Macaca mulatta: one gene and its partners. The main gene of each other region encodes a partner of the protein of the gene in region 2 in a complex. Links are inferred from orthologs where the notes say so. Each region holds a gene or a part of one and is shown on either strand. Other genes may lie near its edges. The genes, in order: MYOM1, OBSL1 and CCDC8.

Evidence for each region.
Region 1: the proteins of OBSL1 (region 2) and MYOM1 are in contact, whole or in part, in a crystal structure (PDB 5FM5), measured with the Homo sapiens proteins. The link is inferred for Macaca mulatta from reciprocal best matches to the Homo sapiens genes OBSL1 and MYOM1. Residues at the interface, in NP_056126.1 of Homo sapiens: Pro243, Lys253, Phe255, Val257, Asn258, Gly260, Lys261, His262, Ala263, Lys264, Phe265, Arg266, Cys267, Tyr268, Val269, Met270, Gly271, Lys272, Pro273, Pro275, Trp279, Lys305, Tyr308, Tyr317, Cys319, Ala321, Arg322, Asn323, Ser324, Ala325; in NP_003794.3 of Homo sapiens: Arg616, Pro617, Ser618, Ala619, Pro620, Trp621, Thr622, Gly623, Gln624, Ile625, Ile626, Val627, Thr628, Glu629, Glu630, Glu631, Pro632.
Region 3: OBSL1 (region 2) and CCDC8 share a complex: the UniProt entries of both Homo sapiens proteins name them as parts of the 3M complex. The link is inferred for Macaca mulatta from reciprocal best matches to the Homo sapiens genes OBSL1 and CCDC8.

What each region holds. Positions count from the first base shown.
Region 1 is NC_133423.1:74,414,223-74,417,871, reverse strand, and holds part of MYOM1 (myomesin-1), read left to right. Parts: intron 1-3,374; coding exon 3,375-3,649. UniProt on the Homo sapiens protein: Major component of the vertebrate myofibrillar M band. Binds myosin, titin, and light meromyosin. This binding is dose dependent.
Region 2 is NC_133417.1:124,791,892-124,794,415, reverse strand, and holds the end of OBSL1 (obscurin-like protein 1), read left to right. Parts: coding exon 1-83; intron 84-402; coding exon 403-507; intron 508-820; coding exon 821-1,090; intron 1,091-1,769; coding exon 1,770-1,777; 3' UTR 1,778-1,902; downstream 1,903-2,524. UniProt on the Homo sapiens protein: Core component of the 3M complex, a complex required to regulate microtubule dynamics and genome integrity. It is unclear how the 3M complex regulates microtubules, it could act by controlling the level of a microtubule stabilizer.
Region 3 is NC_133424.1:58,899,856-58,904,245, reverse strand, and holds the start of CCDC8 (coiled-coil domain-containing protein 8), read left to right. Parts: upstream 1-1,586; 5' UTR 1,587-1,722; coding exon 1,723-3,363; 3' UTR 3,364-3,547; exon of another isoform or gene 3,548-3,974; intron 3,975-4,390. UniProt on the Homo sapiens protein: Core component of the 3M complex, a complex required to regulate microtubule dynamics and genome integrity. It is unclear how the 3M complex regulates microtubules, it could act by controlling the level of a microtubule stabilizer.

The DNA of each region.
Region 1 (3,649 bases), on a different chromosome or scaffold from region 2:
CTGAACCCAATTAGGAAGGTAAAGGGATAAATAACATTCTATTTTTGGCTTTTTAGCTGATATCTTTGCTCTGTCTGATTTTCTAAAGTGAACTTTCCAGACAAACACGCTTTCGCTGCTAAGTATGCATGTCCAGCCATTTGTCCTCTTCACAGTAGCTTAATGTAACTTGCATTCCTTATAAGTGATGGTAGGCTAGAGGGGTAAAGTCTTTTGTCTCCGGTATTTTTCCCACTCTGTTTCAAAAAATCATTTTAAAACCACATCAGCTTAACACTAGCCTACGTGACATGACTCCACCTGGCAGGGCATGAAATGAAGCTTCTTACTCCTAACATCTTCTCCCTGCTCTGTCCACACCAAACTATTTGTCTCTTCCGGGCCAGTCTCAGGAAGTGATCATTTACCAAATAAACTGATAAAAGAAGATGTGAGGCCGGGCGTGGTGGCTCTCGCCTATAATCCCAGCACTTTGGGAGGCCAAGGTGGGCGGATCACGAGGTCAGGAGATTGAGAACATCCTGGCTAACACAGTGAAACCCTTTCTCTACTGAAAATACAGAAATTACCTGGGTGTGGTGGCAGGCACCTGTAATCCCAGCTACTCGGGAGGCTGAGGCAGGAGAATCGCTTGAACCTGGAAGGTGGAGGTTGCAGTGAGCCAAGAGATCGCGCCACTGCGCTCCAGCCTGGGAAACAGAGCGAGACTCCTCTCAAAAAAAAAAAAAAAAAAAAAAGATGTGAATAAAAATTGATTTTCTAGGCTTTATTTCTAGTTCTCCATTATATCTTATACGGTGTCATCACCTATACTCTATTACTGTGTCAAAAATAACATTTCACAACGGTTTTGGCAGTATTAACAATCTGAGAAGAGGATGGAAAAATATGAACATTTGTTGAGTGTCTATTATTATTTGCTGGGACTCATGCAAGGTGCTTTATATAAACCATCTTGCTAAATTCTCCATACAACCCTGCAGAGATATTAATATATCAACGTTTTGGACAAGGAAATCATGGCAGAGTGACTTGCTGAAAGCTGCATGCCTGGGAGGGAAAGAATTGAAAGTCCCACGTAGGCCTGGTCAATGCAGTGGACATGCCCTCTGCACTCACACTGTGCTTCTGGAAAACACCATTTCCTCTGCATGGCACCTGAAAATTCCACTTATATTCTAATAAATTGAGTAAACTTTCTGTCGGCAAGAGATTTTGAATTGAGATTGTCACAGATTCGCAGAGTACTGGGAGATTTTAAATTTAGTTTTACTTCGTAGTAGTATACTTTTGTCAACATGTTAGCCTCACAGTTTTACTTTTGTGTCCAGATTATAGAAGGGTTATCACTGATAAATCCTGACTTTTACTTAAAGGAGAATATCCCTACTGCCCTGGGTCTAACATACTTTTTAAGTGTAGTTGAGTTCTCGTGTGAAATAATTACAAGGTTTTTTTTCCGAAGTTTGGCTTCTTTGTAAACGGAAAAGGCAAGGAGACTATCACTTCGTTTGGCCCTCTAGAGCTGTGCCAACCTATCCAGTATCAGTAGTAATGAGAACTTAAACATAAAGTTCTCTTACTTGGAGCCTGGGGCAAGACTAGCATTGAATATGATCCATCATTACATGAATTGAAACAGATCACAAAGCTCATTTCACATCTCCCTATTGTATGTTGACTTCTATAGAGAATTCCAAGCAAATTCTCCATGGTTTGTTTTGTATTCAGTTAGTAATTCATTCACTTCCTATCTTGTTCAAAAAAGATTGAGAAGTCATTATGTGAGGACACTAAGCTAAAAATCTTTCATCTTCCTCCTCCCCCTCAAATAATAATGGACATATTACTAACATCCATAGTAGGGATTCTCTTATTAATATTTACAGAGAGAGAGGAAAAAACTTAAAATTTACTCACTACATTTAGTCAGAAACAACATGGACTCATCTCGTCTGCCAGATGTTTTAGGAATAGTCCATGAGAAACCCCAAACTTGGCAAATGTGGAATCTTACTCCTCAGCAAGCGACATAGATTTAGATGCTAGGAACTTGCTAACACAATGGCAGCATTTGCTTACATACTGAAGCAATCATTCTTGGAATGTATAATTCTGACGTAAGAGGTCTAAGGAGACTCAATTTCAAGAGAATCCTCGATATAATCAATACACTCTTTCACTAAAACATTTGAGGGGCTTTACAACAAAAGGCATTGAAATATGTTAAAATAATTCAAATATTTTTAAACAACATGAATAAATCACAGCACAGATTCTATCATAAACTGCCACAGTAGGCATTGAACTTGAGATGTTACCACTCCCTTACTATTGTCATCAATTATGAATAATAACGAGTCACATTTATAAATGTCACCACTTCCATCACAAGTTTGATAATTTCTTAGTATATACTATAGGTGCACACATAGTATATGCACACACAACATATATTATCTTAGAAAGAAACCCAGTAGACATAAGGAACCTCATGTACATTCAGAACTTATTCATACTGCAACAACTCCAGGCAGTGCATTACATCAGCAAAGTGACAGAATCCAGATCAAGCTCCTACTCATGTATCAGGGTCACAGGCAAACAAACTAGATCTCATTTGACAATATGGCTTTTCTGGAAAGGAACCATAATCTTTTATTGTAAACAAAATCATGTTTAAACACACTAAGACAATCCGTGAGACGACCTTGGGCAAGTTATCTAACTTCTCTGAACCTCGTTACCATATATCTAAACCAGAAATAATAATTTATCTTGGCCGGGCATGGTGGCTCACGAATGTAATCCCAGCACTTTGGGAGGCCAAGGCTGGTGGATCACCTGAGGTCAGGAGTTCGAGACTAGCCTGGCCAACATGGTGAAACCCTGTCTCTACTAAAATTACAAAATATTAGCTGGGCATGGTAGCAGAAGCCTGTAATCCCAGCTACTTGGGAGGCTAAGGCAGGAGAATTGCTTGAACCCAGGAGGCCGAGGTTGCAGTGAGCTGAGATTGAACCATTGCACTCCAGCCTGGGCAACAAGAGCGAGACTCCATCTTAAAAAAAAAAAAAAGTTTATCTCATAGGGTTTATATGGGGATGAAACAAGATCATGTATGTGAAAAGCACCAGGGCCATCATAGGTGTTATAATTACTGTTATCATTATTATTATTATTGTTATTTGTTAAGGTGAGGAACACTTCCGTACATGAAGCGTCAGCTTCTGATTTACCTGCTTTTTCTATATCGGGTTTTCTTTTGGTGCAGGATACAGTGTCTGAGGTGTGGTACTTTGAACTTAGTAAAAATTACTCAATCTTATCACTGCCATCCACAACATCTACATTTTGCCATTATTGTGTTTTAGTCAAAAGCATGTCAGTGGAATTACAGATACGGAAGAAGAAAGAATTAAAGAAGCTGCTGCTTATATAGCCCAGAGGAATCTTCTTGCTAGTGAGGAAGGAATCACAACATCTAAACAGTCCACGGCATCTAAGCAGTCCACGGCATCTAAGCAGTCCACGGCATCTAAGCAGTCCATGACATCCAAGCAGTCCACAGCATCCAGGCAATCCATGGCATCCAAGCAGTCCGTGGTTTCCAAACAGGCCACGTCCACTCTTCAACAGGAAGAAACTT
Region 2 (2,524 bases):
ATCGGAGGTCGAGACCACAGGGCGCTGGGAGCTCGGAGGCCGCCCGCTGAGACCCGGAGCCCGCGTCCGCATCAGACAGGAAGGTCTGGCCTCCTGGTTACCCTCTCGGGCCCCTCGCTGCCCCGCCCAGACTCGGACAGATCCCGCCCCACCGGGACAAGCCCCGCCCCTGACTCGGACGGGCCCCGCCCCGCGGCCCTGTGAGCCTCGTCCCCAGTCTTTCCCCCGCCCCCAGCCCCGAGTCTCGGACCGCTAGTCTTCCCGCTCGGTATCCCGGTTCCGCCCACCCTAGCGTACACTAACGGTGTCCGAACCGACCCAGGGGCCTGCTGCGCCCCCACCTTCGTCCCTAGCGCTCCTCAGAGGCGGCTCCGGCCTCGCTAGCGACCCCCTCACCCCCAGGGAAGAAACACATTCTGGTGCTTAGCGAGCTGCGGGCCGAAGACGCCGGTGAAGTACGCTTCCAGGCGGGGCCCGCCCAGTCCTTGGCTCTACTGGAAGTGGAGGGTAAGCACCTGGGGCGGGAGCCACAGAGAGTACATCCTCTGTCTCCTGCCATGGGACTGACGGACTTGGGGCTGGCCCCAAGAACGCTGCCTCTCTCTCTTCCCCTCCCCCCGAGAGGCTGTCCTGGGTCGGGTCACAGAGGGCAGCGCGTTTCCCCGGGAAGAGGAGACTTTGGGTCTGAGGTGCAAGGGAACGGACTGGTGGCATAGAGGGCTAAGGCCAGGAGTGGAGGCTGCAGGGAGGGAAGATGCATCTCTTCTCCTGGGGGCCATGCGTGTCCCTATTAACTTAAGCTCCTGCCCCCTATCCCCAGCATTGCCTCTCCAGATGTGCCGCCACCCCCCTCGCGAGAAGACCGTTCTGATGGGCCGCCGGGCGGTGCTGGAGGTGACTGTGTCCCGCTCGGGGAGCCACGTGTGCTGGTTGCGGGAGGGGGCCGAGCTGTGCCCGGGAGATAAGTATGAGATGCGCAGCCACGGCCCCACCCACAGCCTGGTCATCCATGACGTTCGACCTGAGGACCAGGGCACCTACTGCTGCCAGGCCGGCCAGGACAGCGCCCACACACGGCTGCTGGTAGAGGGTGAGTAAAGTCAACTGGGCAGAGGCAGGAGAGCGAGGGCGCCTGGGAGCTGATGGGTTAAGCCACACTTGGCTTTCCAAGACTTGGGGTGGCAACGGGTCCTGGGATACGTCGGAGGTGGGGATGGGGGAGGGGAAGGGTAGAGCACACCTAGGGCTGGAAAGCCCTGGAACCGCTTGGCTTAGATCAGCTGCTCCTGGTCAGCTGTTCCCACCTTTCTACGCCCCTTCCTGCCAGGCTTCTCCTCTCTCCTGCCACTGGACCATGTTTGTCTCTCTTGAACAGCCCTGTTTCTACCAGTTCCTTTCCTCCCCACTTCCCCAACACTGCCTGCCTCCAGCCTGTCCCTCCTCTCTCCTGCCCTCTGCCCAGCTTGCCTCTACCCATCTCAGCAAGTTCCATGTCAGCCTCGGCAGAAGCCTCTTTCTTTCCTTTTCCACGTAGGAGACATCCCACCTTCTATCCCGAATCCCAGCATTCCCTTCAGGTGCTGCCCTGTGCCCCATCCCTAGCTGACCCCCACCTTCCTGCTGCCAAGACAGCCCTGACCAAGACGGAGAAAGGGTAGGGCATAGCCTGGGGCCCCAGCTCTTCCTGTACTGGTGTCCAGGCTCTGCCAGGGGAGAGAAAGGTGGTACCCACTCTCTCCCCAGCCACATGTGGAGTCATTCCTCTGCAGGTAACTAGGAGGACCGAACCAGGCCAGGCGGGTGCCCTTGGACAACTTGGAAGGCGTGCGCCCTTACCCTGGGCAGGGGTAGAGAGACAGGGAAACCAGAGGTGTCAGGAGACAATAAAAGTGCTACAGCTCATTTCCTTGCCTCTCTGAGTGATGTGGGAGGGCAGACCTTGCCTGGAGCCTCTGTGCAGTGAGCGACACTGGGGACCGAGGGCTGTAGTGCTTGTACCTGGCCCATGAAAGTGCCAGCCACCAAAGACCACCATTCCTGGCAGAGGCCACGCAGTTTGGCACATTTATAAAAGATGTAAAACAGAGTGGGGTGGGGGAGACAGAAGCATGAGGTGTCCAGGTTGGCATGACAGACACCAGACATGCACCGTGCATTTCAGCCCCTCCCCAACTCCCTTCCCAACCCAGCCCAGAGCAGCACCCCCCACCCCCATCTCCTGCCACTGCCCTCAGGCTGGTGGCTTTGCAGAGGCCAGGGGACCACGGTGAGGGGTGCTACAGTTTGCCCCATAGACAAGGACAAGAACCCTTAGATGAGTCTGGCTGGGAGGCAGGGCGATGGGAAGGAAGGTAGCCCCTCCGCGGAGACATGCAGGAGGTGGCCCATGGGACCCCGGCGGGGGGTGAGGAGGTGGGGTTGAGCCTGGAGAAACCCTACCAGTCAGAAATCTAAGGCAAGGGTCCCAGCGTCCCCTCCAAGCCCGCCCACCCCTGCACACATACACACAGACACACGGGCAACA
Region 3 (4,390 bases), on a different chromosome or scaffold from region 2:
GTGCCTATCCTTAGCCATCTCATTCTTTTTTCAAAGTTGCAAAATATTTCACTGTAAGATACTACCATAAAATAGAGGCAGTATCTACTCATGAACTTTTAGGCTTTTTTGTTGTTGTTTATTTGTGGGGTTTTTTTGGTTTTGTTTTTTGGCTTTTTTTGTTTGTTTGTTTGTTTTGTTTTTGTTTTTTTGAGACAGAGTCTCCCTCTGTTGCCCAGGCTGGAGTGCAGTGGCGCCATCTCTGCAACCTCCACCTCCCGGGTTCATGCCATTCTCCTGCCTCAGCCTCCCGTGTAGCTGGGACTACACACGCACACCACCACACCCGGCTAATTTTTGTATTTTTTGTAGAGACGAGGGTTTCACCATGTTGGCCAGGCTGGTCTCGAACTCCTGGCCTCCAAGTGTTCCACCCGCCTAGGCCTCCCAAAGTGCTGGGATTACAGGCATGAGCCACCGCGCCTGGCTATGAACATTCAGGTTTATTCATCCACTCAAAAATATGTAGAGCCCTGACCTCCTGCCAAGCGTCACAGGGGGACTGTTGCAATAAGATCCCGGTACCCATTTCTCTACCCACGCGTCTGGGTGTACGGGTACGGATAGTCGCGTGAATTTAAAATGCTAATCTATGGTGCCAGTGGCTCTCAAAAGGTAGAATCCACTGGCACACCCACCTCCAGGACTTGGCTGGAAACTTGTACATTTCGGATGGCAGGTTTGGGAACCGCTGCCTTTCAGCAAAGGTGCTGACGTGGGCCACCGCCGCTTCGCTGGGAAGCAATGGGCCCAGCTAGGCCCCAGGCGCGGCCACACCCCTGTGGGGGAGGGGAAGGAGGCTGCCCCGAAGGGAGTGGACAGCCCCCCTGTCAGTCTTCCAGAGTCTGGGAGTGTAAGATGAGACGGGGGAAGGTGGGCCTCATTCTGGCGGAGGGCAAGGAGGAACTTCCTGCTGGTGCGCTCCACCGTGCAGAGCCCTAAGCGCGCGGGCTGGCAGGCTGCGGCGCGTCAAGGTCAGCCTGGAGCTGGGTGGTGGCCTGCCTGGGGGCGGGGGACCCTACTGGGGGGCCGGGCTGAGGCCTCTCAGCGCCTCCGCCATATTGAATAGCCTCGACTGGACCGTCTTTGTCTGCGAAGTCCTCTCCCAAGTTCCAACCGCGTCCCAGGGGCCTGGGGCAGGAAGAATCGCTGGCAGCCCGCGCGCCCCAACTTGGAGCTGGGACACCACGTTTCCAGCTTGGAGTGGGCCTTGAACCTTGGGACTGACCTCGCCTCCGGCTCACGTAGGCATCCTGGAAATTGATTCTCCCAAGTCCTTGGTGGAGGAGCCGGACTTGGTCAAGACTGGACTTGTTGCAGGAGAAGAGATTGGAGGCGTTGACTCGTCCCTGGCTGGGGAGGTGAGACTCTGCGGTCAGCGTTGCTGGGACTCCCCCCATCCAGTCCCTCCCTCAAGACTAAGGGCTACAGTAGTTTGTTGGGGCTCTTTGCTCCCTCACCCCAGATATCACCCTGGAGATCTTAAAGACTCTCGAGAAAAGCCACGTGGGGGGCTGGTTCCCCTGGGGCTTCCTCCCGTCCCCCGACTGCCTCATTCTTTGGAGCGTCCCCGATGTCTGCAAAGATGTGGATTTGGACGTCCTCGTGGAAGCCCTAAAACCCGTGGGAACATTTAAGAAGATCGGCAAGGTGTTCCGCAAGGAGGAGGACTCCACGGTGGGGATGCTGCAGATCGGGGAGGACGTCGACTATTTGCTCATCCCCCGGGAGGTCAGGCTGGCCGGGGGCGTCTGGAGAGTCATCTCTAAGCCTGCCACCAAGGAAGCAGAATTTCGGGAGCGGCTGACCCAGTTCCTGGAAGAACAGGGCCGCACCCTGGAGGACGTGGCCCGCATCATCGAGAAGAGCACCCCGCACCCGCCCCAGCCCCCCAAAAAGCCCAAGGAGCCCCGAGTGAGGAGGAGAGTGCAGCAGATGGTGACTCCTACGCCCCGGCTGGTCGTGGGCACGTATGACAGCAGCAACGCCAGCGACAGCGAGTTCAGCGACTTCGAGACCTCCAGAGACAAGAGCCGCCAGGGCCCGCGGCGGGGCAAGAAGGTGCGCAAAATGCCCGTCAGCTACCTGGGCAGCAAGTTCCTGGGAAGCGACGTGGAGAGCGAGGATGATGAGGAACTGGTGGAGGCATTTCTCCGGCGACAGGAGAAGCAGCCCCCCGCGCCGCCTGCCCGCCGCCGCGTCAACCTGCCAGTGCCCATGTTTGAGGACAACCTGGGGCCTCAGCTGTCCAAGGCGGACAGGTGGCGGGAGTATGTCAGCCAGGTGTCCTGGGGGAAGCTGAAGCGGAGGGTGAAGGGTTGGGCGCCGAGGGCGGGCCCCGGGGTGGGCGAGGCCCGGCTGGCCTCCATCCCAGTGGAGAGCGCAGGGGTATCCTCCGGCACCAGCCCGGGGGATCCCGGGGATCCTGTGGAAAATGTGGGAGATGTCTGTGCCCCGCAGGCCTCCCCTAGGCGATGGAGGCCCAAGATCAACTGGGCCTCGTTTAGGCGCCGCAGGAAGGAGCAGACAGCGCCCACAGGTCGGGGGGCAGACATCGAGGCTGATCAGGGGGAAGAGGCTGCAGATAATCAGAGGGAAGAGGCCATAGCTGACCAGGAGGAAGAGGCTGCAGGTAATCAGAGGGCAGGGGCCCCAGCTGACCAGGGGGCAGAGGATGCAGATAACCATAGGGAAGAGGCTGCAGATAATCAGAGGGAAGAGGCCATAGCTGACCAGAGGGAAGAGGCTGCAGGTAATCAGAGGGCAGGGGCCCCAGCTGACCAGGGGGCAGAGGCTGCAGATAACCATGGGGAAGAGGCTGCAGATAATCAGAGGGCAGAGGCCCCAGCTGACCATAGGCCACAGGGTGCAGATAACCTGAGGGAAGAGGCTCTAGCTGACCAGGGGTCAGAGGCTACAGATCCTCGAAGGGAAGAGGCCATACATGACCAGAGGGAAAGGGCCCCAGCTGTCCAGGGTGCAGGTAATCAGAGGGCACAGGCCCGGGCTGGCCAAAGGGCAGAGGCTGCACATAATCAGACGGCAGGGGCCCCAGGTATCCAGGAAGCTGAAGCCTCAGCTACCCAAGGGGCCACAGGAACAGCTTCAGGAGCCAGGGCCCGGAAACAGGTCAAGACAGTGAGGTTCCAGACCCCTGGACGCTTTTCGTGGTTTCGCAAGCCCCGGAGAGCCTTCTGGCACACTCCCCGGTTGCCAACCCTGCCCAAGAGAGTCCCCAGGGCAGGCGAGGCCAGGAGCCTCAGGGTGCTGAGGGCCGAGGCCAGAGCAGAAGCTGAACAGGGAGAGCGAGAAGACCAGCTGTGAGGTGAGGGCTAGAGACAGCCCACGGGCCCTCCCTACAAGCGTGGGAGAGAAAGTTGCTCTTTCTGCCTCTGAACTTGAAAGTGGAGTTGGAGTGCTGCCCACATCTCCACCTTACAACCCTCTTTATTCTCTTGTTAAAGTTTTGTCTCATGCGTTGATTTTTAAAAAATTTTTTAGAGACAGGGTCTCACTCTGTTGCCCAGGCTGGAGTGCAGTGGCATGATCACTGCAGCCTCAAACTTCTGGCCTCAAGTGATCCTCCTGCCTCGGCCTCCCAAAGTGCTGGGATGACAGGTGTGAGCCACCACACGTACCACCTGATAAAATATATATATATATATACATATATACATATATATAGTGATTCCTTGTAGCAACCCAAAAAATGTAAAGAAAGAATTCGATACAAGGGGGTTCTGTCACCTATAGTTTTAATTTCCTCAAATGCAACTCAAGGTGCTCAGCTTGATAAAAGGAGAGCGGGAGGGCAGGGGAGAAATTGCCTGCTTTTCCTGTCCCTTTTTTGCCTGCACACTTAACGTGGACTGCCTCCTTGGACTTAAAAAGAGGACTTGAGCCAACATGCAAATAAAAAAACATTTATGAACTGGTTTCTTAGCTTTGGACTTGGCAACTGACGAATGCTCTGGGGGTGACCCGGCCCTTCCTGTCCGTTCTACTCCCATCCTTGAAGATGGAGACACCTGTGTTTATGTTGTCACTTCGCTTGCCATCCTCATGCCCCTGGACTCTGCTGCTTTGGAGGGGACAGGGCCCTTGGTTTGCATACCTCTCCCGATCTTGGTTGTAAGGTACAGTAAAAGCATCTGAAAAATGCGTTCAAAACACAGATTCTGGGGCCCTCAGCATCAGAGATGTGGATTTGCTAGCGGTGCCTGTGTGGCTCTGAATTCTGTTTGCATCAAGCTTCCAAACATCTGGGCAATTCGGCCATTGGACACATTGAAAACTCATTGCAATAAGAAAAGGCCTAAAAGAGGGGCTGTGGTTGGCCGGACGTGGTGGC